Linked DNA regions of Arabidopsis thaliana. The protein of the gene in region 3 interacts with the protein of the main gene of each other region in a pairwise test. Each region holds a gene or a part of one and is shown on either strand. Other genes may lie near its edges. The genes, in order: NFD6, AT3G42630, HSP23.6-MITO and NARA5.

Region 1 (7,726 bases), on a different chromosome or scaffold from region 3:
CCTTGGAAACCACCATGGAATCAAATCATAAGAACCTTGTATTTCTGGTCTTTGAAGAACGTCAACAAGAGAATCGAGATCATGGATTTATCATGGGCAACATTTACAACCAAAACAATGTCATTGTCTCACGCGGGTGATGGAAATAATTATATGGTTAGCGATGTAACTGATGGATCGCAACCTTTTGATTTTCGAAAAGTGTGTTGGAGTTTCATTAAAGAGATGATAGCCAAACAAGAAGATCAAATTAGACCGAAGACGAAGACGATCAAGGAAAATAACAGATTGATAACCCTGTTAGCGTGTAAGGCTTACCTACGAAAGGAAGCAATGTGTAATTTCACTTTTTCGATTATTTCGTTCAACTTAAGTATTGGTTGTATGGATTGTAGAGCTCTCACTTATATGCTTATTGGTATATTTGTAATCTCTTTTTAAGTTTAATAAATAAGACGTTAAAAAAAAAAAAAAAAACTCCCATAAGTTTTACGCCGTTAAAGAGAGACGGAGCGACGTTTGCTACGACCGTCAAGATTCAAATGGAATCTTTTTTAAGGAAAAACAAAAATTCCTCCAACGGCTATATCTGATCAGACATCTCTGTCTTCTTCTTGGATGCGGAAAAGGAAAAACCTTATTACTTGTTTGAGATTCTCAATTCAATTCTCTGAGATTCTTAAATTCAATTCTCTGAGATTTTGCCCTTTTCATAATAATGGAGTCTACGCCTCCTTATCACCGATCCAACACTAAATCAGCTTCGCGTCTCCAAGATTCTTCGAATCCTCCAAATCTCTCTCTTGATTTGGTTCTGTCGTCTCCCAATACTCCAAACCCATCATCACCTGTTCCTCTTCGCGATATCCTCCTCTTACCTCCTTCTCCACTTCGAAAATCGAGGACCCGTTTATCCGATCGACTCGAAATGACTTCTGAAGATGCTATGGCGGTGGTTCGGAAACGGGGCAAAGGGAAAGGAGGGCAAAAGAGTCTTTTAGCATCTCCGAGGAATCCCCGGAGATCGAGGCGAAGATCTGAAGCTGTGGAAGAGAAAGAAGCTAATTTGGTTATCGAAGAAATCGTAAAGCTTCCTCCTAGAAAGCGGAAGACTAATGGTCGACCTAAGAAGGATAAGCAAAGTTCAGCTCCTCCTCTTTGTTCTTCCTCAGATCTTCCAAGTACTCTTCTTTCTCTTATTATCTGCTTTATGTGTTTCTCTGCTTAATTCTGATTTGCTTGTGTGTTGGGTTTGGTGAAGATACATGTCAGAGCGATTTGAATCTGATTGGAGAGATTATAAGTGATTTGGTAATGTGGAGAGATGTTGCGAAATCGACTCTCTGGTTTGGTTTTGGATGTTTGTCTTTCCTATCTTCTTGCTTTGCCAAAGGAGTCAACTTTAGGTACCAAATATCTAGCTTGTGTTTGTAGGCTCAATTAGATTTGTGAAAGTCATGACCTTTTTCTTTGTTTTGAAGCGTTTTCTCGGCGGTTTCCAATCTCGGACTTGTGTTACTTTGCGGGTCCTTCTTGTCAAACACTCTTTGTCAAAGGTACATTTACTTCTGTGGTCTCTTTTGTTTGGCATTCTCCATAAGCTAATAGTTAGTGTGATCCTTCAATGTGTTGTTACTTTTAGGAAAAATGAAGACACAAAGAGAGCGTTCCATGTGAGTGAAGATGATGTCTTGCGCTCAGCTAGACGAGTGCTTCCTGCAACCAACTTTTTTATCTCGAAGACTAGTGAGCTTTTTTCAGGAGAACCATCAATGACACTCAAAGTAAACAAAATCAAATCAGTTTTGGTGATTGCTATGTGTTGGTGGTTTACTTGCCCTTTCATCTGCTGATTTTCTTTTTGTCACAGGTGACACCATTTCTGCTACTTGGAGCTGAGTATGGTCATCTCATAACACTGTGGAGGCTATCTGCATTTGGTAATTAACATTTGGAACATAAGCTGAAACATTGTTAAGCATGATAGGAATTGTGATGATGATATGTGTGTATGGTTACTGAAACAGGTTTCTTCCTCAGTTTCACCATCCCAAAGCTGTATTCATGTTACACGCATCAGATTAGCCAAAAAGGTGAAGAATAATGAATTGCACCCATTCACATATTGTCAATTGTGTTAGAATCAATAGTCAAGTGTTTGTAGATGTCTTTAACTGGTCCAATGGTTTAAATTCTTGAACTGGTTTGAGTTTCATTTGTGCAGTTGAAAGAGTGAAAACGAGAATAGGTGAAGCATGGGGAGTCTGCTCACACAAGAAGATCTTGGCTGGCTCTGCGGTGACAGCGTTTTGGAACTTGACGAGCATAAGAACCCGAATATTTGCAGGTAATTTACCTAACCAATGGTTGACAGAGTATTTGGTTTGCCTTGTATCAAAATATAACGTATACGTCTTTCATGTTCTGCAGTTTTTATCATCCTGGTGATATTTCGGTATAGGAGACAAAATCTACAGCTAACTCCCGAGGAAGTTGAGCCTGTTGAGAATGAGCAAGAAGAAGAAACACTCCCGCAGGAAGAAGAAACAGTTCCACAAGAAGAAGAAACAGTTCCACAAGAAGAAGAACAGACACAGCCATCAGAAGAGCGAGCTTTAGTGGTGGTGGTTGCAGAAACTTAAGGATCAAAGAAACTGTAGTGTTTGTACTTTGTATCAATCCACATTCAACAGAGATGTAATTCTATATCTCGAAAGGATCTGTTTTTTTAATATGAAAAATTAATGACAAAGAGATCCTTTAACAAAGCTGCCCATTCAAGTCGTGAATCTTTGGCAGAGAATACAATGTTTCATAAGATCCAAGGGACAAGAAGAAGAAACTTGAAACCTTCTTTCAAGTTTAAGGGTCGACAAGTTAATGTGCCAATTTGATTGCCAAATCTGCTACTTTTTCCCTACTTATTTTGATGAGATTCTTGATTATATATATATATATATATATATATATATATATATATATATATATATATATATATATATATATATATATATTTGGTAGAATCTTGATTATAATTTATAGTATTCAAACTCATGGATGTTTCCAAGTTTTAAATTAGTAGAAGTGATGCAATTTTGTTGAGTTTGTATGTTGATGTAATAGAAATCATAGAGATTTGATTCAAAAGATATTGGACATTTGTCTTTGATATGAAAACTAAAGACAAAGAGATGATTTGTGTTTGAACAGTACAACAATTATTCTTTGCCTAAATACTCTTAAACCTTCTCTCGCAATCAACAATCTCGCATTGGGTACGCGTAGACATCATCAAAAGTCCTCTTTGCAAGCTGATAAATTATACCAAACATCAGTTACTCGTCCAACCAATACAACATGTCTTACTTAATAGGCTGAAAACAAAGAAAAGCTCTCCAAGAAACTCAGAAACAAAATTAAGAGGGTTTTCGTTCCTAAGTTTTTCTAAAGAAGAAGGCTTTAAAAGGTAGAGGTTTTGTACATAAACTGTAGCTTCATTGTTCCTCTGGCTAACTCATCACACATCATCATTGCAAGCTGGGAGTATAAGACCAATCAGTAATAACTCAAATGCTATAACCAACAAGAAAAGAAGACACGTTTCCGGGTACATGTATTTTTTTTAAGAAGATATGTAAGAACCAGTTCTTTTAAAACACAATGCAGCATCAACCATTGCTTGATGTGTATCTAAAGCCTATCTTATTGCCTGAAACCCGTTCTAATCGTTTATATTATTTGCATGAAAACCCAGATCTTGGCTTCGTTGTCTCCATCTACACTTGTGTCAGCCTACAAGATCGAAAAACTAGACCAATTGAGCCGCTATCTCTTTACAACGTTAAGCAGAAAGACAACAACAACTGATCCAGTTTTTCGCCATAGCAACAACCAAAAAGAATCTACACTGATCGAGAAAGCTTCTTAAATGGCAAAATCTAAACTAGTTCTCTACCTATGTCTAATACAACAATCTAGAAAGCCAATACAGAAACAGCTCTCAAACACATTTCATCAATCAAACAAAGCATATCTCCACTCAATATTTAGTACATATTTAAGCCATTATTCAAGCATTACAAAATTGAAGGATGTGAGAAAGTACCGTCAGAGAGCCAGCCATAGGTTTGGCCAGAGATAGAAAGCTTTGAAGTCATTAGCGCTGAAGCTGTAGCCGAGTGATATGGTAACAATGACTCCACACAGAAGCTCAGTTCCACAGGATTTCTATTCACATCAAAAACAAACAAAAATGCAAATTCTTTTAAGTAATGTGATAAGAGAGTTTCACATTTAAAATCAACATCAAAATGCAAAATTTCATCTTTTTTACTTGTGAATAATCGATCTGGAAACATGATTAACGCAAAAATGTAATTTTTACATAGAGAAGTTCCTTCTTTTTTTTCACAATTCGATCGAATTTAACCCATTTCAAGCTTCAAGTAGCACAAAACTGTGAAATGAGCTCAAATAAGGAAATGGGTATGAGAGAGACTAACCGGAGAGGAGAAAGCAGTGGGCTTCTTCTGGCAGTGGCTCTAAACAATGGTGGAGCGGATTTCGCTTGAGAGGCGAAGCGGCCAGTAGAAGCAGCGGCGCTGCGTGAGGAAGCAGCTCGAAGCATCGATCTGGCACCGGAGAGGACGGCGGACGTGGCCATCAGGAGAGAGAATTGAAGAGAAGATCAAAAACTACGGCTGCGAGAGAGAAGAAGAGAGAATGCTGAAGCCTGAACTCCGATTACGATTACGGGAAATGATGATAAACCCTATAAACGCGATCTTAGTTTGGACGAAACCTTAGTCTTTTGTTATAAACGCGATCGCAACACTTTTGGGCCAAAGGAAAGCCCAATTTCATTTGTGCGTCTTTGAACGGCACTATGCAAGTGGCTAACATTTCTTCACTTTTTTTATGTGATCAAAGTAATTGGAAAATTTTATGGATCGTTATTTTTTAAACTGAGTCAATATTGGTTTTGGCAAGAATATGTGTCGACTTGGTGGCGATTAAAAAAAAAAAAAAAAAAAAGAGACTAAAGTTTATATAACTAAAAGCGTCAGGTCATACAAAGATCCCAAGATAATGAAACAAAGCTTAAACGGAGAGTAGAAAAACCATGAGATAATAGACGAAATAGTAAAACTAGTGACAACTGGCTGGAAGCAGAAGCTCTCTCTCTTCACTCCTCTCTGTAGTCTGGGTTCTCCTTTAAGATGATGAATCCTTCTAGTATTGGCGACAGAGGAATGTATCTGTTTGCCAGTTACAAATCCGAGTTTTATAATCAGACACCTAAGTAGGCAACATAAAGGGTACAAGGAAGAAAGGAAAAAGAATAACATACTTGTCCGTGGCTAGTTCGGCTCTCTCTCCAGCAGCCAGGAGAACAGGTGTGGAGTGTGTCTGGAAACCGGTTATGGTCTTGGGCCGACCCGCTTGCCCAACCACATCAACTGCTTGTCCTACCCGCACTGGCACTGACAGTGGCTTCAGGTTTTCATCCACTGTCAACATCATCCTTGGCTATACATTTTTTTAACAAAATTTGATTAAATATCAAATCATAGCAAGTTCATCAGACCTAACTAACAAGAGGGAGAAACACAGGACAGAAGTTGAACTCACTTGCATCGCCAAAACGAGGAAGTACAGCACATAATGGTACTTCCCGAGTATGATTGGTTTCATGTCAAGGCATGCATGCAAAAGTGTCACTATACCAGCAAGTGCGGTTCTGCATAAATAAGGTCCGCATGAGAAACCTTTGAACATCCAACTATCAAAAAAGATTTGGTTCTATTGGTGACAAAAAGAATGAACTTACGGCGATAGCAAGAACCGTTCAGAGTGGAAGGGGCTGAGTGTCAAGAGACCCTTTCCCATGTGCACAAGCCCTTGAGCAATACGCACCTGCATAATGACTTACCAAGTTAGTTACAATAATTCCAACAAGAACAACAGCTTACCGCAGGGTACAGAAACCAAAATGAGGAACACATTACACAGAAGAGAAGACTCATGTCTTTGTAATAATAGCTGGAGAGGTTCCGAAGCATCCCGGCTATCCTTGCGTTATTAGTTCCAGCGCCAATCAGTCCCAATGATATAATTGCTGACTGTACGAGTCAAAAGAAAGATCAGTCCTCTCTCAATACTATTCAGCTAAATAATATGGGACAGGCTATGAAGCGAAATGATTGCTAACCATGGCAACTTCCGAATCTGTGTCATGGCTAAGCCGGCTCAAGGTGTCCATTACAGTCACCTGGAATTGTGGGAAAAATATTAAAAACCCAGTATTACTCTAGACGCCCACTAATAATTGTAAGCAGGTGCAGTAAAACTACATTTACAAAAGTATTTACCTTTGGATTGGATATACAAAGGAGACCAAGGGCCAAAGGCACAGCACGCCGAATGTTTTGTTCTCCGTATTGTAGCATCCGCTCCAGAGAACGGATCTCCATATCAACTCCCAGTTCTTCAGACATAGCAACCATTGCTAACCCAAGCACAGCTGGACCCTGGTGGATGTCACCTTTCTCAAGATGCTCGCCACACTGAGCAAGAAGGTCTTGTACCTGAAAATATAAGTAGGAGTCAACAACTAAACAAGTAATGAATTATGTCACTCAACCACCAGCACAATTGATTAGATACCTTTAGGACATTTCCAGTTCCAGCATAAGCACAAGAAAGAAGTGTCATATCACAATACTTTCTAATCTTCTCATTGAAGGTCTTCGAAACTTCAGCTGTAGCCTCTACACTTTCCTGGTAGATATTGGAACAAGTTGATGTTGGTCAAGCAATGCAAATAATGATATACGAACAAAGAGCGAGATTATGTAAAACACATTGCTAACCTGTTTGCCCAGGTATAGAAGTCCAAGACCAAGTGGCAAGAAACGAGTGAGGGCATCACCCAGTTCTGCCTCACTTCGATCCATCAAAGCAAATATAATAGACTGGGCTACTTCTTCGTTACAGGAACCAACATATATCATTCCCAAAGAAAGTGAAGCAAATGCAATCACATCAAGAGGCGCTTTTGCATCATTCAGTATCGGGGACAATTTGTTTCGAATCTGTTGAAACAGTGTACGTGTTAAAGTTTTGTGAACACCCGAAACATTCAAGTAGTAATATGGGAAAGAATATAACAAGTACCTGGTCATTTTGGGAACCTGCGTATGAAATTCCAAGACCCATGATAGCACCGATTCTGACAGATGAATCCTCTTTGTCTATATAGTCTCCAAGAAGTGCCAATGCCTGAGAAATAAGGCTGAGTAAGATGGAAGAGTGGCTGCAAATATTAGCACAAATGGTCCCAGCAAAATCAAACACGACAGCAACTCACAGGATCACAATCGTTCTTAATGCCACAATTTACAATCCCAACTCCCAGCAGTGCTCCAGCAATGATAGGATTATCATTACTATGGAAATATTTGTCGAGTTGGGAAAGTCCAGAGTCCACATCCCACAGTTGAATCATACCCTATATGATAGGGAAACAAAAAGATCTGGTTACAATTCTTACTTCCATGATCTGAGCACAGTAAATAAATTCATCAAATAAGAAAAAGTATACCAGACTAGCAGCTGCACTAGTCTTGCCATGTTCTTTATTTTTGAAGAGCCAGTTTCCAGAAGATCCGGTGGTTGAGTCTGAAGGTACTGTCATTAGTTTGTCCTGCGATAAGCAAATATATTA
Region 2 (7,734 bases), on a different chromosome or scaffold from region 3:
ATCCTGGAAGCTCTTGCAGCCATCAATACAACTGAGTCACTATCCATGTTCTTTGGGAACACTTCAATTAAGGACTTGTCGACAGAGAGCTTGTTAAGGGTTAGAGTTCCAGTCTTATCACTGCAGAGAACATCCATTCCAGCCATTTCTTCAATTGCAGTCATCCTCTTGGTGATGGCACCTTGTTGAGAGAGTCTATGTGATCCAATAGCCATTGTTACAGACAAAACTGTTGGCATGGCGATTGGGATTCCTCCGATCAAAAGCACCAATAGATTATCAATACCATCTCTGTATGTGCGGTGTTGGATAGGGTACATAATCAATATCTCAATCAACATCCCCAATCCAATTGAGCATATACAGAAGTTACCAATTGATGTCAAAACCTGGAAAATAAAAACCCAGCCGTGAGACCCTAGGTAGACCAAGAGTTACAGTACTCAGATGTTGTTCATTTCTAAAATACCTTTTGGAAATGGCCAACATTGTTGGTACTGTCAACAAGATGAGCAGCCTTGCCAAAAAAGGTGTGGACACCCGTGGCAATGACAACAGCCTCAATCTCACCTTGCTTGCAGGTTGAGCCAGAGAATACTTCATCTCCTGGGTGTTTGGTGGTTGGAAGGGATTCACCAGTAAGAGCAGATTGGTCAATTTTTAAAGGATCTCCTTCGAGGAGACGAGCATCAGCAGGAACAATGTCACCCAATTTGATGCTTATCAAATCACCCGGAACCAAGATTGAAGCCTCTTGCTCCCCCCATTTACCATCTCTCAACACCTACATTCACACATAGGTTATATAACTCTCCTTTTTAGAAAATACATACCTATATATATGTATTGAGAAATTTGCATACCTTAGTCTTTGGTGCAAGATTTGCCATGAGAGCAGCAGCGGCATTGCCAGCATTGTTCTCCTCGATGAAACTTATGGTGGAGTTGATGATAAGCAACACCATAATACCGATAAAATCTTGCCAATCCGGCGCCTTTCCTCCTCCATTAGCTAAAACAATAGCCATGATTGCAGCAGACTCCATAACCCATGAGAGAGGATTCCACATGAACCCCAAGAATTTCAAAAACTTGTTCTCTGATTTCTCTTCAAGCTTGTTTGCCCCAAATATTTCAAGCCTTTTAGCACCTTCATCGCTGGACAAACCTTCTTTTGAGCATTTCAGCTGCTCAAACACTTCTTCCACAGGGATCCGCTCCTATAATATAAATCATTCAAAAATTATTACAGATTTTCAACAGTTCAAGATCTCGAGAACGAATTAAACTCTGTAAAAATCTTACAAGGTCCACATTTTCTTTCTTGATTTCATCCCACGAGAATTCAGTCGCCATTTTTCTTCCTTAAAAGAGAGACAGATATAAAAAGAAGATATATCCGATGGACGTATAAATCAACTTCTCCCTTCTCTCCTTGCTCTAAAGCCTTCTCTTAGCATGCAAGACGCTTTCAAGACGAGGCCATAAGAGAGAGGGAGAGAGAGGAAGAAGCGTGTATTACAAGAAACCTATGAGAAGGTATAAATACAAAAGAATAACACACTCTAAAACAACCATTGTTGTGTTCCATTTAAAACCCTCACCAGCGATCTAACTCTATTCTCGGAACTTTTTTCTTTTCTTCCAGTAATCAGGTTTGGTGGCTTACCAAAGCTTTCGCTTATTTCTTCCTGTCCTTTTCTCTACACTTTCTAAAAATAGTGCATCTCAAATTTAGCCTATGATTTCAATGTAACATGCAGAATTTACTTTGAGGAGTCAATATGTCTTTCTATGGTCCACAACTCCGGATAAAAATGTGCATTAATAATATGTATGTAATTCAATATACATATCTATTTAACAATAAAACATTGTAAATACAGGCATGTATGATTTATATGTAAATCTAGTAGCAAGAAGACTCTCTAACCTCAATGTTTCATTTCAAGCATCGGAAAAGTTTATCAGGGGGATTGTGATAGTGAGCAAAGAGTGACGGTCTTTGCAGCAAAGATGTGGCATGTAGCTAGTAATTCCAGAAAATCTGGTCTCTCCGCAACTTTTTCTTGAGATAAACTCCAATTAGCTTTCTATACGTCCAGTTTTTCCGTGGACTGAACTCCAAAACAGCTTCCGAGCTAAGATGGAAATCCCCTTTCCCCAGAACTTCAAATGCAAGTGGATCAGTTAAGACAAGAGGAGAATCGTCCAGATTCATTCGGTTGTATACAAACTCCAAATTTCTCGCTAGTCGCTTATCCATATATGCATCGACAACACATCCGAAAGTCACAAGATCCGGAACAATGTTCAAACGTCTCATATGTTCAAGAGTGAGATGTAGATCCCAGAAGAGAGCCATTCTAGAAAACGCAAGAGCGCGAATGTTAAAGGTGGTAAGGTCAGGAGAGAAACCCGCATCAAGCATTCCAATAAACTCTCTCTGCAAGCTTTTCATCTTAAAATCAGCTGCATATGACAGTAATACAGAATTCCATAACATATTTCCAAGATTTCTTCTACCGAGACCAACATCTGACAAAAACTCGCGTAACCGATAAAACTTCCGTTGTTTCAAGTACGCTAACACCACAGCTCTTATCTCTTCTTCCTCTATCACAATACCAAACTTCTTAACCCGGCCATAAGCCTTCTCCATCTTATCTAAACTACCGAAAAAACTATAGTATCTAACAATCACATTAGCAGTCTCAGCCTCTAACAACACTCCCTTTGAATCCATTTCCTCTATAACACCCTCCATCAGTTCCAACTGTCCATTCTTACCAAAACAGGATATAGCAAGTGAAGACACAACCGGAAGAAGCTTCGAGTGCCTTGCAGCAACATCCTTGGTGATCTTGGCAACTTCATCAAAACAACCAAATTGCTCATAAGCAGATATAAGCTTAGAGACTACAAAGACATCAGGTACAAAACAACTGTTTATAATCTCATCCCAAATCGTACGTGCTCGAAGAACAAACCCATTTTCAGCAAAACAAAGCATAAGAGCACAAAGGGTTCTGTAATTTGGTAACAAGTTAACTGATTTCGTTTGGAGAAAAATCTCATGAGCTACATCAGGTAATCTTCTCTGGCTTAAAGTTTGAACTAATGGAGCGTAGTCTACGATTTGTATCTTTTGACTGAAGTCCCTAGATAGCTTTGATTCCTTGATCAACTGTACAAAGTAGAGAGATACCTAAAATTCAAGATATGAAGTGAACTAAGAAACAGAAGCAAGTGTGTAGGTACCTTTTTCGCGATTGAAGGAGCAGACGAATCCGTGTAACAAGATAAGAGCTTGAGATGTTGGGGTTTCAAAGATAGATTGAGCGACAACATTGCGACCAGTCTCGGTTACGGTACGGTGGTGACGGAGGAATCGAGGAGATTTCCGGAGGGGAGAGAGAGAGATTTGGGCCTCAGAAGCTATAATTAGGGTGTTATTTCAGAGAACGTTTGGGCCTTTATTGGGCTTTAGAAACATTATCCCCACTAGTAAATAAATGTTTTCTTTTCTTTTTATAAAAGATTTCACTATTTAATATTAACTATTTTTTTTGTCATCCGATTAATAATTAGAGCTCAAACGAGGCAAAACTAAGGAATGTTATTTAATACCAACTAGAGTATTTAAAAAAAAATTTAAATTTCAATGATAGAATATAGTTATGAGATTTGAAAATTCGACCATAATATTACAAAAGGTCAAGCATACCGTCTCTAAAAAAGTATTTAAATATTTCTTAAAACCCATAACAACACAATACCTATCGATCATTTTTGTAAAAAATTTCATAATCACTCAATCATTCGAATCAGAACATCTTGAATTCGTAGCGGCCCAAACATAAGCGGTGGAGAATCTTATATATTAAAGCAGATGTCAAAAACTTTCATGTTCGCTCTCAGAAAATGAACTGATGGATTTGCCCTCCCTCTCTTAAGGTTTTTAAGGATAAATTAATATTTTTACTAACTAATGAGATAACTTATTATTTTGTTTTTATATTTTAATGTGTAGAAAAAAAAAAGGTTTAATTCACTCTCAACCCTAAATTTCCTATTCTCTGGCGCCCCTAATCAAACCTAAATCGCCTATTAATCCTAATCAAACCTAATCAATCATAAGTCGCCTAACAACCCTAACGGGCTTATGCTTTTCAAACAAAGATATTAGGCCCGTATAATTTACGCTGTCATATGTAAAACCCTAAAACCTTATGCTGAAAATACCTATAAATATAGGATCCCTCCTCTCAAACACAAACATCGTAGCTTGATTTTAGTGCATAGCAATAGCAATATAGTTTATAGTTTTTTTTTGTATTTCAATCTCGGTCCTTTTTATGATGCATCTTCATCGATTTTTCCGACTCCTTTTTATGTTATGGTCACTTGGAAAGTAAGATCTCATAGATCTTTGCCAATTGGTGATGAGTTGTTTACCCAAGGTTTACAGTTTGTTCGGTTACATGTTTTGGTTTTCGTAGCTATTTGGTTTTTATATGTGTGAGAATTTTCTTGATTTTGATTAGCACCTCTTTTTTGTTTCTGAGGTACAATCATAAATTTTGGGGATTGTAGAATTGCAAACGAACTTCGAATCAAACCGAGGTATCTCACTAATCTTTCTTGATTTACACATTTTTTTAGTTTCAGCTTTATCGGATATATTTCCTTGATTGTCTCCGATTGTATCAATCTATAAAATTATTGAGAATCTCTCTCACTTAACCAAAAGAGCTTTTCACCAGAGAGAGCAAAAAGCATCAACCAAACCATGGCTGCAAGAAATTTGGAGAAGATGGCTTCTATTGATGCTCAGCTCAGGCTTCTTGCTCCTGGCAAGGTTTCTAAAGACGACAAGCTTATCGAGTACGATGCTCTGTTACTGGATCGATTTCTCGATATTCTTTAGGGTTTGCATGGCGAGGATGTCAGAGAATTCGTATGTTCACTCTTTCTTCTTTCTTAAAAACTGGGTTTGTGATAAAAATTTGAACTTTTAGTTACATTTAGGGTTACCCTTTAGTGAATCATCATGCAGGTTTGTTGTTTCTGCTTATATTATCCATAAAGTTGAATCCTTTTCAGTGATTACCTATTATAATAGAGATTATATTATAAGATATTTACATAATTGAGATAAAAAATTTGGGCAAAAAACAAATCCAACTTGTTTAACGGTGCTGAAGATTAGTGAATGCAAGCCTATAATAAATTATTGGATGCTTGGAAATATGTCTGATATGATAGGAAGTAATCGCCCTCCAGTATATATTGAGAATCAAATCAGCCTGGATACATTTATGTTGATTCGTAATGGCGATCCTTCTATTAACTTGTTTGTGTCTTTCTACTCTATCGGCAAGGGAAGCTTTACAGAGACAGAGGTTGCAAATGTTGATGCAGCTCATAAGTTTGACGAAGATATAAATGTATATGAGGATGGAAGAGATGAAGGTGATGAGGATGAGGATAATGAAGAGGAGGATGTGGATGCAGATCAAATGTTTGGCGAATATATGGAAGTACCCTCGACCCTACAATCGACGGTAGTGAAGGTAGTGGCGAAGATTACGATTACAATAAATAGGGTGATCTGATTGTGGAAGACTATGGAATTGGTCATGTTGAGGAGGACGTCGTGAATGACACTCAACAAACCGTGGAACCCCAGGGGAATTCACTCGTCTATTGGCATTGTGTACGTCGACAGGTAAACATGTACATCATGTAGAACCCACTGCTGTTTTGGTTGACAGTACACCAATCTCTGCTCCATCCCCGACGTGTCAACATGGTTTGTACCAATGTACGTACATTAGAGTCTGTGCAGAGGAGACAAGATGCGAAGGTGAATTAGTTAAGTACATGGCTGCAAATGTGGATGATATAGCTGAGAACATAACTGGAGATGAGGGTATAGAATGCCTAAGAGGGGCTTCTGCAAGTGGGTTAAATATTGAATCTGACCACCGTCTAGTAACAACAGGTGAAGCCTACGAAGTGTATAAAGGGTTTTCTACATTGCACAATGGTGAGAATGAGTTACTCGATACTGATGCTGCTCCAGTATTCGATGATTTAGCCAATGTTCGAGTCGATGAGACAGAAGTTGAATTGAGTACGTCAGGTCATCCTTTGTATGTGGGAAGTGTTTTCAAAAACAGGCACGTCATACAGTAGACTATGCGACTTTTTGCAATCAAAAGGTGCTTCCGCTACAAACAAACTCGCTCATGCCCTAAAAGATTATAGATGGTTTGCGTAGATCGTAATTGTCCATGGCAGTTGACTGCACATGTCATACCCAATTCAAAATGTTTCAAAATCACAGGTTATGATTCTATCCATGTTTGCAAGATCGGGAGTCGAAAGGATTATCGTAAACATGCTACTTACAAACTTTTAGGCAAGGTAATGAAGAATAGATATAGTTCTAGGCAAGGGGGTCTAAGAGCAGTAGATTTACCTCAATTGGTCTTAAATGATCTTAATGTTTGGATCTCATATTCTACAGCATGGAGAGCTAGAGAGGTTGTAGTAAACTCTGTAAGGGGTGATGATATGGCTAGTTACAGGTTTTTACCTATATATCTGTATCTTCTACGTTTAGCAAATCCCGGTACAATCTGTCATCTCCACTCCACTCCTGAATCTAATGGTCGCCAGCGCTTCAAGTATGGATTCGTTTCTCTCTCGACGTCTATAAAAGGTTGGAAATATATGAAGAAAGTTGTTATTGTAGACGGAACGCAGCTAGTCGGTCGTTACAAAGGATGCTTCCTCATAGCATGTGCACAAGACGAGAACTTTCAAATTTTCATTAGCTTTTGGTGTTGTCGACGGCGAGACCGATGCTTCATGGATTTGGTTCTTTGACAATTTATCAAAGATTGTTCCAGATACTGACGATTTGATGATTGTCTCGGACATGCATTCTTCCATATATAAAGGCGTCAGTGTGGTGTATTCGAAAGCTCATCATGGAGTATGTATAGTAACCTGGAGCGAAACATATCAGTGTCTTACGCTAGGTACGGTGTGTCTTGTTTATTCTTTAGCGCCGCTAAAGCATATCGGGTTAGAGATTTTGAAAAATACTTTGAAGAGTTAGGAGGTCGGAGTCCGGGATGCAGAAAGTATTTAGAGAATGTTGGATTTGAGCATTGGACAAGGACATACTACAAAGGGGAGCGGTACAATATCATGACTAGCAACAACTCGAAGGCAATGAACAATGTCTTAAGGAAGGCAAATGCGTATCCAATTGTCTATATGATACAGTTCATCCGAGAGGTCATTATGCGATTGTTTGCAGCGAGGGGGAAAAAAGTGTCGAAGTGTAACTCTTTGGTGACGTCGGAGGTAGATGAACGTTTCCTCCAAGACTTGCCTAAGTCAGGAAAGTTCGCAGTCATGATGTTTGGGCCATGGAGTTATCAAGTTACTTCAAAGAGTGGTGAGCATTATCACGTTGTACTAGACGAGTGTATGTGTACTTGTCTTAGGTACACGATGTTAAGAATCCCATGCGAGCATGCTCTAGCTGCTGCAATACATTTTGGCATCAACCCGAAGGCTGTGGTTGGATTGTGGTATAGCCTTCAAGTGTTTTCTGATTCTTTCCAAGAATCCGTTTTACCTATAGCGGACCCAAATGACGTTGTTATTCCTCAAGATATATCGGAATTCATGATAAGTAGGTTTTTAGGCCTA
Region 3 (7,255 bases):
TTCAAGATAAGGAGAGCTCTGACCTTATTATACAGTCATGCCTCAAGTATTAGTACGTTGCTTTTTTCATGTTCGACTGGAGATCAAAGCTCACAGAACACTGGAACAGGATGTGAAAAAAATGCGACAAAAAACGCTGTCATCTCTCCACGACAGGGAGAGCGGTAGAAACTCGATCTACATGATTCTGCAGAACATTAACTCGGTGCAGGTATCATTCTAGTATCTTATCAATATGCAAATTGCAAACACATATGAGTTTGCCTCTTAACTGTGCAGACCGGTACCAGCTGAACTTCACAAGGAATGCATATGATAACACACATTGACTAGTCGTTTCACAGCTTAAGTCGTTTCACAGCTTTTAACATAAAAGAACTAATAGGGCTATTCCATCTTCTGTCTAATATCATAGAAACCGAACAAGAGTAATAAATAAAAGGGTCATATACCCAAACCAAACATCCAACATAGGGGCATAAAGAAAATACGAAAAAAGACTTACATAAGGATTAGTTTCACAAGCTAAAATGCACAATACAAAAAAGACTCAAAGATGCATACTAAAAAAGTAAAAAGACAAACCGCTCAAGATTCATAGGCTTTGAATATCATCTTTGCAGTTTCATTCACGAGTCCAGACCTCTGCAAACATAGCTCAAACTGCTTAGCCTTAAGCTTCTTCCATTTCTCCTCCACTTCTCTCTTCTCAGCTCCATCCGCAACCTTTGCCCAAACCGCAGTTAATGTGGATTCATCCAAACCACAAGAACTCCCATTATCTGCATTGAGGAACGATGCAATCTCTTTACCAATGGAGAGACCTGTGTTCACAACCTTTGCCTCTGTTCTTTCCGGTTTCTTCGCTTCTTCTTGTTGTTTCTTGGGAGTAGAGTGAGCTACTAACTTCATCTCTTTCGGTGCAGGTGTTCCTCCAACTTTCTTCCTTGATGATTTACCAGTAACCAAAACACCATTGCTTCCCCAAATCTTTCTGGACAATTCAAAACCTTTTTGCTCAAGATCTTTAGCAAACTCAATATCATCTTCAGTCTTTCCCTTCTTAAGAGAATTCTTCACAGCATTATTAAACTTCTTCTTCAACCTCTGAAGTTTAGTAACAATTTGGTTTTTGGTAGCATCGAAATCGATCAGTTTCTTCACATAAATGCAAAAAGCATCAATATCCTCATAAGGATCTCCTTTGGTAGATGTGAAATCAATAATACCTTGAAGCAAAGCGATTTCATCCGTCTCACTGAACAATCTCTGAAACATCTTCTTAGCATCCTCTGAAGAAATCTTCTTAACCTCATCATTAGTTATCGGCTTCTTCACATGCTCAGTGTCCGATGTCTTCTGCTTCTTAATAGCTTCAGGAGCAGCTTCCTTCAAAGGACGCTTAGCCGTTGAACTCTCAGGTACAGTCGCGGCAGATCCAGACGTCTCTGGAATTGGTTTAGTCCCAACAGGCTTCAGCTTGATCGTCTTAGCAGGCTCGGACTCGGGCTCGGGCCCAGAACTGGACTCCGATTCAGATTCGCCTTCAGAGTCAGATTCAGGCTTTTGCGAAGACTCGACTTTCTTCGGAACTTCAGCAGAAGATTCAGATTCTTCTCCAGATGAGCCAGATTCTTCTTCTTCACTGGAAACAGGAGGGCTTTCGACCACTTCCTCCGCCTTCTTCGGTGCCATCGAACAAACAGTTACGAGAGAGAGAGGAGACAGAGATCTGCGGTTCTATTTTCCCGTCGCCGTCGATTTGCTTTGCTCTTAGGTTTAGGTTAATGTCGAGGTTCTGTTTTTTGTTTTTTGCCCTACTTTTGTTTTTTTAATAAAAGTCGATCGATTCATTCAAGTTGGGCTGTCCAACGCGCTATTCTACTCGAACGGGCCTAACACTTTTACGCGTTATTAATAGACCAGTCCGTCGACAACTTACGCAGCCTCAGAATTCGTCTTAAAGTCTTCCTAGTTCCTAGTCTACAGAAAATTTTAAACCCAAATACGTTCCATAAGCTCCAGTCTCATAACCACAAAGGCATGTAAACCGACCGAGTTAGCTAAAAGAATACACGATTAGGAACTTATTTAATTAGTGCTTTGATTTGGAATGCAAATTTTGGTTTAAGCAAGACAAAAAACCACCGTCTCAAGAAAGAAACATATAACCTTTTAGTCTTTAGAGACTACATGACTCAACATCGACCGTGCCAAACTACACACACTTCTTATTCAAAGACCTATCAACAAAACTAGAACAGAAAAAAACGTCGACGTTTTTAGTTGATCTCGATCTGACGAACATCATTTCTCTCTTGTTCTTTCATCTTCGGGATCACAACTTTCAACACTCCGTTCTTCATCTCCGCCTTAATCTCATCGATCTTGTAAATCTTATCCGGTAATCCAATCCTGCTTGTGAATCTCCGATTACCGCTCTCTCCTTCCTCGCCACCATCTTCCTCGTTTTTTCCTTCTCCTCTAATCACCAGAGTGTCCTGCTCCAAAGCCAGCTTCACATCCTCTCTGCTCAGCCCAGGCATGTCGATTCTCAGGTACAGAGCATCGTCTTTCTCTTTTATATCCCAACCACGACGAGCTCCTGAAGCTCCCATGCCACGAGTAGCTGATAACAGAGGATTCTCCATGAACTGGTCCATCAGATTCAGCACTTGACTAACGCTCCTCGTCGGCGAAAACGGATCAAACACATCTACACAAAGACACAATCAATCATGTCAAGATTTTGAGCTCAGTGTAAGCTAATACCTGTTTTCTTACTAGATTTTCGCTACGTTAACAACAGAGAGACATAGATCTGGAGGAAAAGCGAAACAATTGGTTTGTTACCTGAGAAGAAATCACCACGGCGGCGAGGAACAGAGCGGCGATATAAATCAACGCCGTCTCCATTTTCGCCGTCGTCGTCGTAGCTCCTAACGGCGTTGGTGTTGAAGAGGCGAGAGGAAACAGCTGGACGAAGAACACTACGGGAACGTGGAGCGATGGAGGATGATAGGAGTCTCTTAAGAGCGAGAGCAGATGCCATTTGTAGAGAAACAGGAAGCTTTGTTGAGAAAGTTTTAACAGTGAGTTTAGTATTTATCTGAGAACTGTGTGCGACGAAACTGGAGACAGGGGAGGACTATATACAGGAGTTAAGTGTTGAAGGTGGGATATTGTCAGTGAGTGAATGTTCTGGAGAAGTGGGGAGATTGATATTTCTCTGGATGTTTCTAGAGATCCGTGGCTCCCAAGCTAAGTGAAACAAATATAAATTGTCTTGTTTATTAACGGGCTACGGCCCATCGGTATTAGGCCTGTTTTAGTAGATTTATGGTCAACAAGTCAAATGACCCTAGAACATGGTACATGAATGAAAAGGACCAAAATGTGGACAGAAATCAACCAAAGGCCGAGGCGGCCACCAACCACCGAACGTGGGAAGGTCTGGTTCGGGCAAACATTCGAAAAGACCAAGAAGACTCGGATAAACAATTAAAAAAATCAGATATTGGAGAAGGCAAATATATATTGGTGTTGAGGTCAAGACTTAGAGTTTTGACGTTATTTAAAAAAAAATATTTTTGGGTAAAGACTAAAGAGTTTGACGCTATCTTGAGGTTTATTTATTCAACGTAGACTATATACTATGGGGCCGTTCTGAATTGGACCTTTTAAGTTTTGATTTTATTAAAACGCCATGTTGTTTAGTCGAGAGATAAACAAAAGACGTGTCTCTAGCTAAGCTGACCTTCATATATGCTTTGACATAATACATTAATTATAATCTCTCTTTTTGGTGTGTGTAAAAAATACACTCTATATTTTATTATGTAGACACACTACATGCAGAAGTGTTCTTACCTCTGCCTCTACGTGCTGTCAACTCCTACAGATCTTCAAGTACCCCAACCGTTATCTAACAGATTAAATATAATATACCCCTAACTATATTATATATCACAATTGTTCAAACCAGTGTATATAGACTAGACGATTCCTTGAACCATATAATTCCAGCTTTACTATAAGAGTCTTAAGGACAGGGGCAAGTGAGTCGAGAAACGAAACCGAATATAAGTCTTGTATGATATAGTCATATAGTTAACCGTCGTCATATATTAAAGAAGAAAATGGCAACCACCGGTCGGAGACTCCGTCCTCCATCGCCCAATAATAACCGGAGCCGGACTATAAGCTCTTCAATCTCTCTCCCAGTGTCCTTAAACGCCTCGTTATCGTCTTCTACTTCTTCATCTTCTTCCTCTTCGCCTTCCAATTCAAGCAAACGAGTGATGATAACCAGATCACAGTCCACAACAAGATCCTCCAGACCCATCGGATCATCCGACTCTAAATCCGGCGAGAACATAATCCCGGCGAGAAACAGCGCATCAAGATCTCAAGAGATAAACAACGGTAGAAGCAGAGAGTCGTTTGCTCGGTACTTGGAGCAACGTACGCGTGGTAGTCCTCGTAGTAACGCTTCATCGAGAGGGGTAAAGCCGGGAGCCAGCTCACCATCGGCGTGGGCGTTGTCTCCTGGAAGACTTTCGACTATGAAGACGCCTCTGTCCAGCTCAGCTCCGACGACTTCAATGTGCATGACGCCGCCTGAGTCACCCGTAAGCAAGGCCAAGATAAGAAGCGGTGGCGGTGGAGCGGTGGCAGGAGTTTTGAAGTACTTCATGGCGCAGAAGAAAGTATCTCCGGTACAAGAGGAGGATTATCACCGGTTTAGGATTTTTCAAAACAGATTACTTCAATGGAGGTTTGTTAACGCAAGAACTGAAGCCACTATGGCAAACCTTAAGATCAACGTTGAGGTACAAAAACTATATGAAAAATATTTAAATTTGTATCTTATAAATATCTATTAATTTGTTTCTGTGAATGGTTTCAGGATCAGTTGTTTTGGGTTTGGCTTAGGATATACAAAATGAGGAACTACGTTGTAGAAAATTTGATTGAAATTCAAAGGCTCCGTCAAGATATCAAAGTACGTGAAGTTCTCAGCCTCCAAATGCCTTTACTTAATGAGTGGTCAAAAATAGACGCAAAAAACTCCGAAGCGTTGAGCAAGCTAACTCGAAAACTCCATGCTTTGTCTGTCCGATTACCCCTCGTACATGGTGCCACGGTTAGAATTTCTCTCTTTGGGAAACCAATTTGTTTATAAACATTTTGTGTATTTGTCAAGAAAGCAGAAACTAATAATTTGGAAGTTACAGATAGATATGGTGTCGATACATGAAGAAATGGTCATAGCTATAGAAGTCATGGACGAGATCGAAGACGTCATCATCAAGTTTCTCCCACGAGTAAGTCCACTTTATCTATACAGATCATTTTCCTAACTTTTTTTGTATAGATACATGTAAAAGAAATTAATTTAAGAATGTCTTGGGTGATTAAATATCAGCAGGTTGAAATAATCCTCTATGAGCTGACAGAATTGATCGGCATGTTCAATCAAGAATTGTTATATTTTGAAGAAATGGACGAGAGCCTTTTATCCATTCCTCTCTTCACGGTAATTCATTATCTCCTAATTTCATTATATATATGTGACCGGTCCGGTAGTTTTATCTATAACTTGAATGGTTTGTTTTTTATTGGTTCAATTTGGATGTGGAAGCTCCATAGGCTAAAATGGTGAGATAATTTTCTTTTAACAGGCAAAGGAGAGTAGCTTGAGGGTCCATATTCTCCAAAAGACTGAAGAACAGAGATAATGTTTCTCTAATAACTCAAACGTTAGGACATGTAATTAAAATGTTAATCACATTGCACATTTTGCAAACTGGATTGTTGTTGATGCCAGAACTCGCTATCTAATTCAAGACGCAGTCTTCTACTTCTAGATATATACGATTGAAGCCATGTGTTAATGTGTATTACAAATTTCGTTATGCAATTTCTACATACACCTTAATGAAAATATACTTATACAAAAAATTAGACATGAAATCTAAAAATGTCTATCCAATCACATATACACACGTAGAAGTGTTTACTTCTCACAAAGAATGTATAAAAATAATAATTGTAATTTCCAAAGCTATAAATATAAAGATTGACTTAACTTACTAAAAGCGCTATTAAGTCATTTGGTTATCCAGCTATTCAGTACTACAGAGGTCTCGGGTTCGAAGCCATCTTTTTCCTAAATCCCCAATTTTTTTTTTTTCCCTCGTTTCCGAATCTTTTACCGGCGAGACTCTGCCATGGATTCAGGCGAACAAAAGTCTAAGGTAAACCTCTACTGATTCTATCTTCTTGTTCTCCTTCCTAATTTCATCTCAAATCTCGAAAAATTTGCCGCGAAAATTGCGTTTCACTGACCTTACTCCGTTCCATTTCTCGTCAGCGGAGGTTCCAACCAAATCCTCCGAGGCCTTCTCGCCGTCTTCCGATCGCTCCAACCTCAAACACGTAATTCGTTCTTCCTCGATCATTTCTTGTTTATGCTTGTAGAAATCTTTAACTGCTTATACATGTAAAAGCTTTAAATTTTCTCTAAACACAGCGAAGCTGAGGAGGATGAAGAGAATATAAAAGCATCTCGCCAATTTGACAGACGTATCGTCGGCGTATGTAGAGAAGCTTCTCAGTTCTCAAATCTTGCTCTCTAGTTTCTTTCCTTATTTAATTTTGTCGAAAATTCGTTAACAGTTTAATCGTAACTTCCCTAATTTCACTTAAAATAATCAAAATCTTATACATTAGATTATGATATATGCGAAATACCAAAACGGTGTGCTTTCTTCATCGTAGCTAACAAGGAATTTTCTTTTTGGTTCTGACCTTTACTAGTTTTGAATCTGCCTCATCTCCTTTGCTAGCTTTTGTTGATCGCATCAATTTAACTGCCTTGTTAAGTGACTATGAAATGAGTTGGTCCAGGACCCCTAACATGTTCATTGTAGCTTATACTGGCTTAGTTCTTATCTCTATTACTTAATCCAAATGCTCAATGTTGAAAACTAAACTTTTTTGTGTTGTTGTTATTGCTGACTGGCCAGAGGAGACCCAAAACCGAAACGAAAGGTATGTTGAAAGTTATATGTGTATTCGCTCGCATTCTTCATTTTAACGAGTTGTGTTTGATCTAATTTCTGTAAATGAGTTATTAGAAAACCATGTGTGTGGAAGGTGATAGTATTAAATATCGTTCTTGAAAAGCTTTTGAAATCTTGCAGCTTCTTCTCCTGAAGTTGCATTCCAACCAAGCTTGTCACCACTTGCA
Region 4 (8,999 bases), 870 kb from region 3:
GTATAAAGTTGCATTTGATAGGATGGCTGATATGGATAAACCTTATGATGCATGGTTCAAAGAGGTTGATTCTAATAAAAAGAAGAGGGACGGACCTCCAATGGCAATTGATTGGGACAATGCTCGTCATATGGTAAGGTTCTTGAAAGCTTTCTATGATTCGACTTTAGCATTCTCTTCTTCTATAAAGGTGACATCAAATGGTTGTTACAATGAGATCTGCAAAATTCAGTCAAGTGTGCAAAAAATGGCTTTTAGCCAAGATTCTGATTTGACAGAGATGGCTTCTGCAATGACGGCCAAGTTTGACAAATATTGGGAAGGTACAGAAAAAATCAATAAGATATTGATAGTGGCTGGTGTACTTGATCCTCGTCGCAAAATGGTATTTACAATGTTCAGTTTTGAACTTATCTATGGAAAAGGTAATCCAAAATGCGTTGAAATGAAGGAACTCGTGATGGATGTTTTGGAGAAACTATTTGACATATATAGTGTTCGATATGCCACTTCAAATCTACAACCTTCTGTTTCCTGTGACGCTGAGAACGTAACCCAAGTACACCAAGACTTTGAGAATATGGAGGTTGACAACATTGATGATCCTTTTCTAAAATTTATGGTTGCTAAGAAGACTTCTGTAGCAGTGGTAAATGAATTGGTAAAGTATTTAAAAGACGAACTGCATGTAACTACTGAAAATAGTTTGGGGCTCCCGTTTGATCTTCTAGATTGGTGGAAGACAAATAGCTCAAAATACCCAATCATGTCTTTAATGGCTAGAGAGGTTCTTGCAATACCAGTATCTTCGGTTGCGTCGGAGTCTGCTTTTAGCACGGGTGATCGTATCCTAGATCAATATAGAAGTTGTTTGACTCCTGATATGGTTGAAGCGTTGGTTTTGACTCAAGATTGGTTACGTGCTTCACTTCGTTCAGAAGCAATGAAGTCTCTTGATAAGCTAGAGGAAGAGAACAAGTTTATGGATTCACTTGAAGAAGGTATTTTACTTTATTTCTTTATAATAATTATATGTGACAATCACTTATAGATTTACTCTCTGTTCATGTTAGTGTCTAATTTTTATTTTATTTTGTTAGAGTTTAATCCTCCATCTCAGAATGAGAAGTGAGAGCGATAGGTACATGTCTAAGTAAACGATTAGTGGGAGCAGAAAAAGATTAAAGAGGTAATGATCTTTCCTTTCTATATATTAGTTTTACGATGTTGGTGCTATCTGTTGTTGAAAAGTTTAAAATTGTTAATTTATGTTTTTTTCTTTCTGTTCTTAATAGTTTATACTCTGTTTTGGTTTCCAATATTCTAGTTAATACTCTGTTTCAGTGTAAGAAGTGATTGGTTTTATTGTTTTCGTTTCGTCTTTATATAGTTATAAACTTATATGCAAGTTATTGACTTGTTGCAGATTCTTCTTGATGACATTGGGTGAAGGAATCATGGAAGATTGTTATGTTACGTTGTTGGATTTCTTGCATTTTCCTTTCTTTTAAATTCTAAGTACTAGGCATTTGATAATTTTGATTTGAACTTGTTACGTTAATTGATTTTTTGAACCAGATTAAAACCGAACTGAATTAAAACCGATCCAAACCGAACTGAACCGACCTAGAACTAACCCAAACACAAACCAAACCAAACTAACTTCGGTTGACTATGGTTAGAGTTTTACAAAACCCAAATAAACCGAACCGAACCGAACCCAAACCGAACCCGAAATTAAACCGAAATGCCCAGGCCTCACTTTGTGTTTTGTCTCTTTTGCATCTATATCGATACAATTAAATAATAACACAATTATGGTAAGCAGCACAATGAATGGAGTTGAGTAACAATCAAACTAAATCAAAGTCCTAGTACTACCACCTACATTTATGATTTGTCCTTAATCATTCTAGTTTAGAACTTAATTAGATCGCACGTCAAATTGTTGTTCGTTGATCTTTTATTCGTATACTTGTTCGTCTCCTAGTCGTAGGTGAGATTTTTCTTTCCATGTAATCAAATTGTTGATGCTTGGTTTGCTCGTAATATAAAAAAAATTGCTGAAGCCTGGAAATGATATAATTTTCTTGGTAAAGGTACTCTCGCGAATGAACCTTATTGTTATTAATATCGTTTATGGAATTGGATCCAAATTAATCGCTTGAGAAACCTGAGCAGTAAAAGTTGAAGCTAATTTACACTTTTTAAGATTTTGATTCTTAACCACGATAAATTGGGCCCATAAATGAAATAATGGGCTAACAGAGAATCAGAAACAGAGGCCCATTTTAATATAAGAGATAACATCATATTAGTCCCACATCGCTTATACAGTAAAACGAAACAGAGTTTATATAGAGTTAGAGTCGAAGTAGTGCTTGTCCCTTCGGGGACATCCGATAAAATTGGAACGATACAGAGAAGATTAGCATGGCCCCTGCGCAAGGATGACACGCATAAATCGAGAAATGGTCCAAATTTTTTTTGTAAAATTTTCCAGATCAATAATTTACATGAAGCAGAACTCTTTCTTGTTTCAGAGCTTTCGGAGAGCTACTCTAAGCCTCTGCATGTTCGAAATTTCTTGGCCTACCCTCTGTTAATAACTTCACCAGTGCGAATCATATAGAAACTGGACAAGATTCTGTCTTACAAAATGTCTGAGTTTTGTTATAACACTGTCAATGCTAAACATGCTTATGGGATTTCAATTTTGCATTTCACAAAAACTTAATAATAGTTTCTGCAAGAATATTCTATGAGACCATCAAATCAAAAACAAAAAATGTCTCAAACTTTGTCGGAAACATATACTATATACTAAAATGTTACATACAAGATTACAAGTCAATTGCAAAAGGCACTACTACATGAAGACAAAGAATGAATCAAAAAGCTAAAAATCACAAGCTAAAGAGGTTTCATCAAGACCCAACATCTGTTCGAACACCAGAACCATTGAGACGGAAGGCATGTGATCGAGCCAGCTCAACCGCGTCCTGAACCCTAAGCCTGGTTCCTTGTTGACCCACCACAGTTGCTGCAATCGTTGCAGCCATATCTCCCATTCCTTTCAAGTCAGAGACACCCCTCAAGATACCGTATAAGATCCCTGAAGCATATGCATCTCCAGCACCACATGTATCAACTGGCACGCATGGGGACGGAGGAATGTAGATGGCCTCTCCTTTTACTCCAATATATGACCCGTTGATTCCATCGGTAACAGAAACAAACGGAACAAAGTGGCTCATGTATCTTGTCGCTGAAATTGGACTTTCCTCTGCGGAAAAGTGACAAAACGCTCTTGCTTCATCGCTATTTGCAAATACAATATCCGCATAGTTCCCCACAATGTCCCTGAATCAACAGAAAACCATCAGCATTTATCTAGGTTCAAGTTTCGTTTTTTCGAGAGACATTCACAGCTTGAAGCATCAAAGCTTCTATGACTTATCAAGCTACAGAAGATAATCACTCTCTTCGTATTATTTCCAACTGTTCCTATCCGATGGAACTGACCCAAAATCAAATAGACGCAAGAATGTATTCAAGTAAAGGGAGAAGAAACTGACCAGAAATCATCATAATGCCTCTCTATGCAGGACACATCTGATGCTGTCACAGCAACAAGTGCCCCGTTTCTGTGGGCTTCTTCGCAGGCTTTTGTTATGGTTCTTATAGTATCAGGAAGCTCAAACAAATAGCCTTCCACAACAAAGACATTTGTCTTGGCTATCAAACTAGCCAAACAAGAATCATAATTAACGACAGAGGATGTTCCCTGAAATTATACATAACATTAGGTTTGTTATTTAGTGGGATCAATAAAACTGAAAAACTTATCAGAGTTAACAATGCTACTACTATCTCAATGTGGTTGCTTTATGGAAGCAAATCGATCCTACCACTACAATGATCTTGCACGTCATCTACTTCAAAAGTTAAACTTTGCTCGACTCTTGTGGAAGAAGAAAGGGAAACCCTTACATTTTGAATAGTAATACATTGCAAGAGCAATTTGCTGAGATCAGAAATCCTACCTGATATGCAAGCATAGTACGTTGTGCATCAGGAGTTGTGAGAACTATCACTGTTCCTGTTGTTCCGTCCTTGATTGGAGCAGAAAGAAAATTTACATTTGCTCGTCGTAGTTTAGTCCTATAGAAACAAAAAAAAAAAAACTTGTGAGTATACCAAACCAAATGTAATGATAGGCTAGTTTGACGCCTTACAAACTACTCTTGTATAGTAACGATTCTCTACATAATTCCATACTCCAATTCTTAAGAGGGGAATAAAAAGTAGACTATGTCTAACTACATACACAATTAGCCAAAAAAAAAGAGAAGGGCCATATAAGTAAGACAGTTTAGTACCCGTAAAAGCTACCGAGAGGGTCACCTCCAATACTGCCAGCCATTGCCACATTCAAAGGCCGGTCACAGATGGATTGAGAACCTAATCTTGCGAGAGCAACTAAAGTGTTGGACAATGAGCCTCCAGCTGCCGCCTTATAGCTACAACCATCCATTGCTTGTAATAATTTACCCCTCTCCTCGTGATTAATCAGTTTCCTTGTTCCCTTTTCTAAACCAAGTTTCTTTAGAAACTCATCATCCACAACTCCAGAGAAATCTACCTAAAACATAAAACACATCATCAATAACCAAGTAAGTATTTTTAGGATCCAGATTCACATATTTCAACCATTTGGTGGCTTCAAGGATAAGAAGAAGCTAGAAGCTAGAAGCTAGAATGATTTATTATAGGAAACAAAAACTCACCATGGCTTGGCCGAGACCCAAAACATCCCATCTCTCAGGCGAAGCAGCAGAGGAATTATTAGCATGGACTTGTATGAATTCATCGTCGTCTTCGTCTTCATTTCCAATCCTCTGGATTTCACCTTCATCCATATCATCCAATTCAGCACCGGCTCCGCCACCAATCCTACAAACCAATTGCCTATTCTCCGCCATGGAAACAATCCTCAAGTTCCCAGAAGCTCCGAAAAACGAGGTCGCGGTTCTGGTTCGTAAGGTTCCTTTGGGGTGATATAAAGAGTAAAGACGGGAGAGAGAGGAGGAGGAAGCATTATTAGAAGCGGTAATGGCGGAGAGAGTGAAAAAAAGAGAGGCAGAGGTAGGAATTGGAGAGAGGAGGGAGAACGCCATGGAATTAGATAGTTTTGCTCTTTGAATGAAGAAAGCTCACATCTCCATTCAAAAGCGAGAGGAGCAAGGAAGACCAGCAAAACCCGAGAGACGGCCTCTGAGAGGATAAAGTATGACTTTGACTTTATATGTTTATTTATATAAATCTTATTAGGATAAAACTCTATTTCTTATTTATATTCAAACCCAAAATTTCAGAATAAGCATAATTGCTAACAATTTTATTTTAACTGTATCTTAAAAATAATAATGTATGTTGCGTCTATTTATAAATTTAAAATTTGTTTATACTATTTATCATTTGTGTTAAAATTGGCTAATTCTTCTAGTGAACACATCCTTATACGTGGCGTTTGTAATTATCGGGTTAGTTACCAATTACGGAGAATAAAAAAAAAAAAAAAGTAGAGAGCTATTCCCGCGGTAAATTCTTCAACAACTATCTATTTACCTTTACACCAAATGTTGAAAGAAAAAACAGAATCAAGACATTCAAAAACGAAAGCAGAAAGCCAGAAAGAACCTGAAAATCTTGATCTCCACCGTTCTTAGTACATACTAAGATTCATTTTCTCGAAAAAGGAAAAAGAACCGAAAAAAAAAATAAGAGACGCAAGTATGCACAATGCCTAACCTTTCCACCTACAATAAGTTTTGGAGCTGTGAGTCCAGTCTCTGCTGCAACTCTTTTACCTTCTGCGAAAGCTCAATCTTCTGCTCCTTATAGCTTCTAAGTAGATACTCTTTCCCATCTATCACTTCTTTAAGCTCACTCACTTCCTTTCTCAACATCTCTACTCTTTCTCCATCCCTTAGGCTCTTTTCTTGTGACTCATAATTGCTTTCGCTGTCCATAAACCCGCCATTCCAAGGTCCAACCGGAGATGTCTTGCCATTGCTGTCCGCGCCACATCCCACGCTGTGATCAGCAATTGCCTTTCTCAGTCTTTGAACTTCTCTTTCTGATTCAAACAGATCTCTGTTCAGTGTGTCTAGCTGTGCCTGGAGATGGCTTGAGTGTGCCGTCTGTGCGTTATACGAGTTTTGCAGCTCTAGAATCTGTTCTTGCATTTCCTGTATCATGTCATCCCGTCTCTTCAGCTGCTGCCTTAGTTTCTGTATTACTTCTCGTTTGCTGAAAATGTCTGAGCTGGTTTCAGATACGCAAGGAGAATCTGAGCAGTTTGAATTGTGATTGTATGGTCTTGGGGGAAGTTCCAGGCGATCAGGAGAAGTTGCCCACATGACTCCATTCTCTTTGCTCGATGGAGCAGGAACTGTCACAAGAGGCAGTGAAGTGTCAGATGCGGATATCATTTGCTCGCTTGTCACCTCTTTTCCTTCCACACTCTCAGTTCCTATAAAAATAAAGAAGCAAAGGCTGATAAGATCCATACACGACTGTTTGCTCTGGACTACATGAATATTAGGATTCAGAGATTTTCCAAAGAGAAAACATAACTCAGGTCTGGATCTAATAGTACAAAACTTGTAACTATGCTTAACGAGGTCTTGGTAGATAACAAAACTAGTAACTGTTTTTAGCATTCAGCCACTAGACACAGCCATCAATGGAGAAAACCTGCTTCCCTAGTTGCCAGCCCAATTGATGCAAATTAATGGTAATATGCCACAACGAAACAAGAGATATTCGATTCAACCAGTTATTGCAAGGTGGCAAATCTTGTAACTATTTTACTCATTCCATAACTTCGAATTGGATTCCCCTAGTTGACAAATACATCATGAGGTAAGATAACAGAGGCTAGAACTCTATAACAACATCTACACATTCTCCCAACTAGATTTTACTATATATCACACATCGTTTTAACTTCATGAAAGGAAACCCAGTAAGACATGATGCGAGACCAAGAAACAAGCATATAGCGTTTGTTTAGTAGATTGAACAAATATGTATGAGGCAAAACAGAAAGTTACAAAGTCACACCTGGAATGGAGCGGAAGCAACAAAAATCATTATTTTGTGTACAGGAAGATGTGGTAGAGTGTAAGCAACAGCTTGTAGATTTTTGCCTCTCAGATGTTCCATTAGCTGCACAAGAGGCTTTCATTTAGTGATAGAAAAAAACTAGAACCAAATTATAAAACATGTTAAGCAACACAGCGATAAAGTAAGTACGTTTTAATCCAGCAGAGCCATTTGATTGAGGTTTCGAATCAAGCGACTGCTTTAGCTTGTATCCAAAGCGAATGGACAATGTGCTCAACAATGCACCCCCTGCAATTAGTATCCAGTTTGGCCCTTCACCACAAAATTTATCACCTCGCTGATGCTTGGAAATGCCATTTCTTCGTGTACTCATTGTATGAGAAAGTCAAAATGTATCTATCATCCAAACATAACCTACATTGAACGGATACAAGAATCAATCATCATCAACGATCAGAATGAATTGGGCATATGTCAACAAGAAACCTGGTGTCAACTCAATAAAATCAACAAATATACAATTTTAAAATCATCAAATGCTTAATACCCAGAAAGATTCCAGAAACTAGAATATGAAAAGATAATGAGCACAAAGAATCACGTTTTGAGCATTACCTCAAACACAGTCAACCAGAGAAGGAAAAACAAAAAAAAGATCTAAAATGATAGTAACACTGAAAAGAGAAAGACAAAAAAAAAAATGGAAGATTCTCTAAGTCAAACATTCTCAGTTGAGAAAGTATACGACGAATCCATGGAATCATATAGGAGCACAGACTCTACCTCAAAAAAAGCAAATGCAAGAAAAATGGAGTTCCCTGAAAGAGTAATCGAAACGTTGATGCCATGGGATTTAGATTCTAAAACTACAAAAGCAAGAAGAAGAGATAGATACTTGCCTTGAACATGAAGCGAAATGAAAATAATAACAACCCTTATTTTTTTCGATAGGGGCCGTTAATCGATATCCCAACAACCCTTAATGAACACAACAATCGCAATCAGAAGGAGAATAAGGAATTACATAAATCCGAGCTCGAAAATAGATTTTCCGACGAATCAAAAATCAGTGAGCGAGCGAAGCACCCAAAAACAGGGAGAGTATAAAGGACTCTTTAAAAAACCTCATAGACAGCAGAAAATGGGCATTAGGGCTCCATAGTTTCCCTCCCGAGCCAGAAAATTTCTCCCGCTTGAGTTTCAATGTTTGATGGGTGGTCCTTGCAGCTTCGAGAATCGAAAAAAATCGCTGAGAGAGAAATACGATTCCGTGAAGAATCGCAGAGTCTCCGACGATGATATGACTGTAAAACCCCCGGGGAGGAGAGAGAGAAGCAAAGTGGAGGGGAAGAGGTTGAAGAGAGACGGCGCCTCACAGTTACAGCTCCGTTGTTGTTTTTTCCTTCCACTGTTAATTCATTTATTAAAATAAAATCACGCACGCGTCAACCACGTCCCATGGATGACGCTCACGGTGGTTAACAAACTCAGCTCATATGTTTTTTTCTTCTTTCTTTTCTTCTTTACGATTTCAATTTTTTAGTAATGAAATTTAATAGATAATTTGAGTATGAATGAACATTTGACATCTTTATCCATGTGTAAATGTTTGCACTTTCTGTTGATTATTTTTTTTTTTCTATTTTAAGTCACTACCAGCTAATGTGATGATACATTTTTCTTTTGTCTTCTTCACTATGTGACAACTACAAAATTAAATATTTGGTCCTTCCTTCTCTAACGATTTTCTTCCTTATGAATATCAAAACCTGACTGAAATAAGTGCCAAATTAAATTTTAGCAACCCTTCTTTCTCTTTCCTTAAGAACAAGTAACCAACTTTCTTGTAAAAAACTTCAACTGCA

The links.
Region 1: the proteins of HSP23.6-MITO (region 3) and NFD6 interact in a two-hybrid assay, tested with the Arabidopsis thaliana proteins (one large-scale study listed by BioGRID).
Region 2: the proteins of HSP23.6-MITO (region 3) and AT3G42630 interact in a two-hybrid assay, tested with the Arabidopsis thaliana proteins (one large-scale study listed by BioGRID).
Region 4: the proteins of HSP23.6-MITO (region 3) and NARA5 interact in a two-hybrid assay, tested with the Arabidopsis thaliana proteins (one large-scale study listed by BioGRID).

The regions. Positions count from the first base shown.
Region 1 is NC_003071.7:8,862,159-8,869,884, reverse strand, and holds NFD6 (nuclear fusion defective 6), read right to left. Parts: upstream 4,788-7,726; 5' UTR 4,664-4,787; coding exon 4,503-4,663; intron 4,228-4,502; coding exon 4,077-4,227; 3' UTR 3,793-4,076; coding exon of another isoform or gene 3,788-3,792; 3' UTR 3,538-3,787; coding exon of another isoform or gene 3,518-3,537; 3' UTR 3,312-3,517; coding exon of another isoform or gene 3,292-3,311; 3' UTR 3,110-3,291; downstream 1-3,109. Other genes in the region: AT2G20590 (Reticulon family protein), read left to right, coding at 719-1,181, 1,262-1,406, 1,482-1,556, 1,643-1,784, 1,871-1,940, 2,028-2,093, 2,225-2,347, 2,431-2,642; RPN1A (26S proteasome regulatory subunit S2 1A), read right to left, coding at 5,186-5,258, 5,351-5,529, 5,632-5,740, 5,831-5,916, 6,009-6,122, 6,212-6,271, 6,372-6,587, 6,667-6,780 and 4 more.
Region 2 is NC_003074.8:14,717,931-14,725,664, reverse strand, and holds AT3G42630 (Pentatricopeptide repeat (PPR) superfamily protein), read right to left. Parts: upstream 3,416-7,734; 5' UTR 3,352-3,415; coding exon 3,262-3,351; intron 3,188-3,261; coding exon 2,030-3,187; 3' UTR 1,746-2,029; downstream 1-1,745. Other genes in the region: HA8 (H[+]-ATPase 8), read right to left, coding at 1-389, 470-784, 864-1,220, 1,306-1,356; AT3G42628 (phosphoenolpyruvate carboxylase-related / PEP carboxylase-like protein), read left to right, coding at 4,793-4,930.
Region 3 is NC_003075.7:12,912,886-12,920,140, reverse strand, and holds HSP23.6-MITO (mitochondrion-localized small heat shock protein 23.6), read right to left. Parts: upstream 3,216-7,255; 5' UTR 3,053-3,215; coding exon 2,854-3,052; intron 2,717-2,853; coding exon 2,283-2,716; 3' UTR 2,031-2,282; downstream 1-2,030. Other genes in the region: AT4G25210 (DNA-binding storekeeper protein-related transcriptional regulator), read right to left, coding at 589-1,695; QWRF7 (QWRF motif protein (DUF566)), read left to right, coding at 4,140-4,832, 4,910-5,146, 5,238-5,327, 5,429-5,539, 5,685-5,741; AT4G25180 (RNA polymerase III RPC4), read left to right, coding at 6,234-6,260, 6,377-6,441, 6,536-6,599, 7,032-7,056, 7,209-7,255.
Region 4 is NC_003075.7:13,779,826-13,788,824, forward strand, and holds NARA5 (pfkB-like carbohydrate kinase family protein), read right to left. Parts: upstream 5,310-8,999; 5' UTR 5,181-5,309; coding exon 4,791-5,180; intron 4,646-4,790; coding exon 4,383-4,645; intron 4,165-4,382; coding exon 4,047-4,164; intron 3,788-4,046; coding exon 3,579-3,787; intron 3,364-3,578; coding exon 2,928-3,363; 3' UTR 2,388-2,927; downstream 1-2,387. Other genes in the region: AT4G27610 (intracellular protein transporter), read right to left, coding at 5,823-6,538, 7,132-7,236, 7,324-7,507.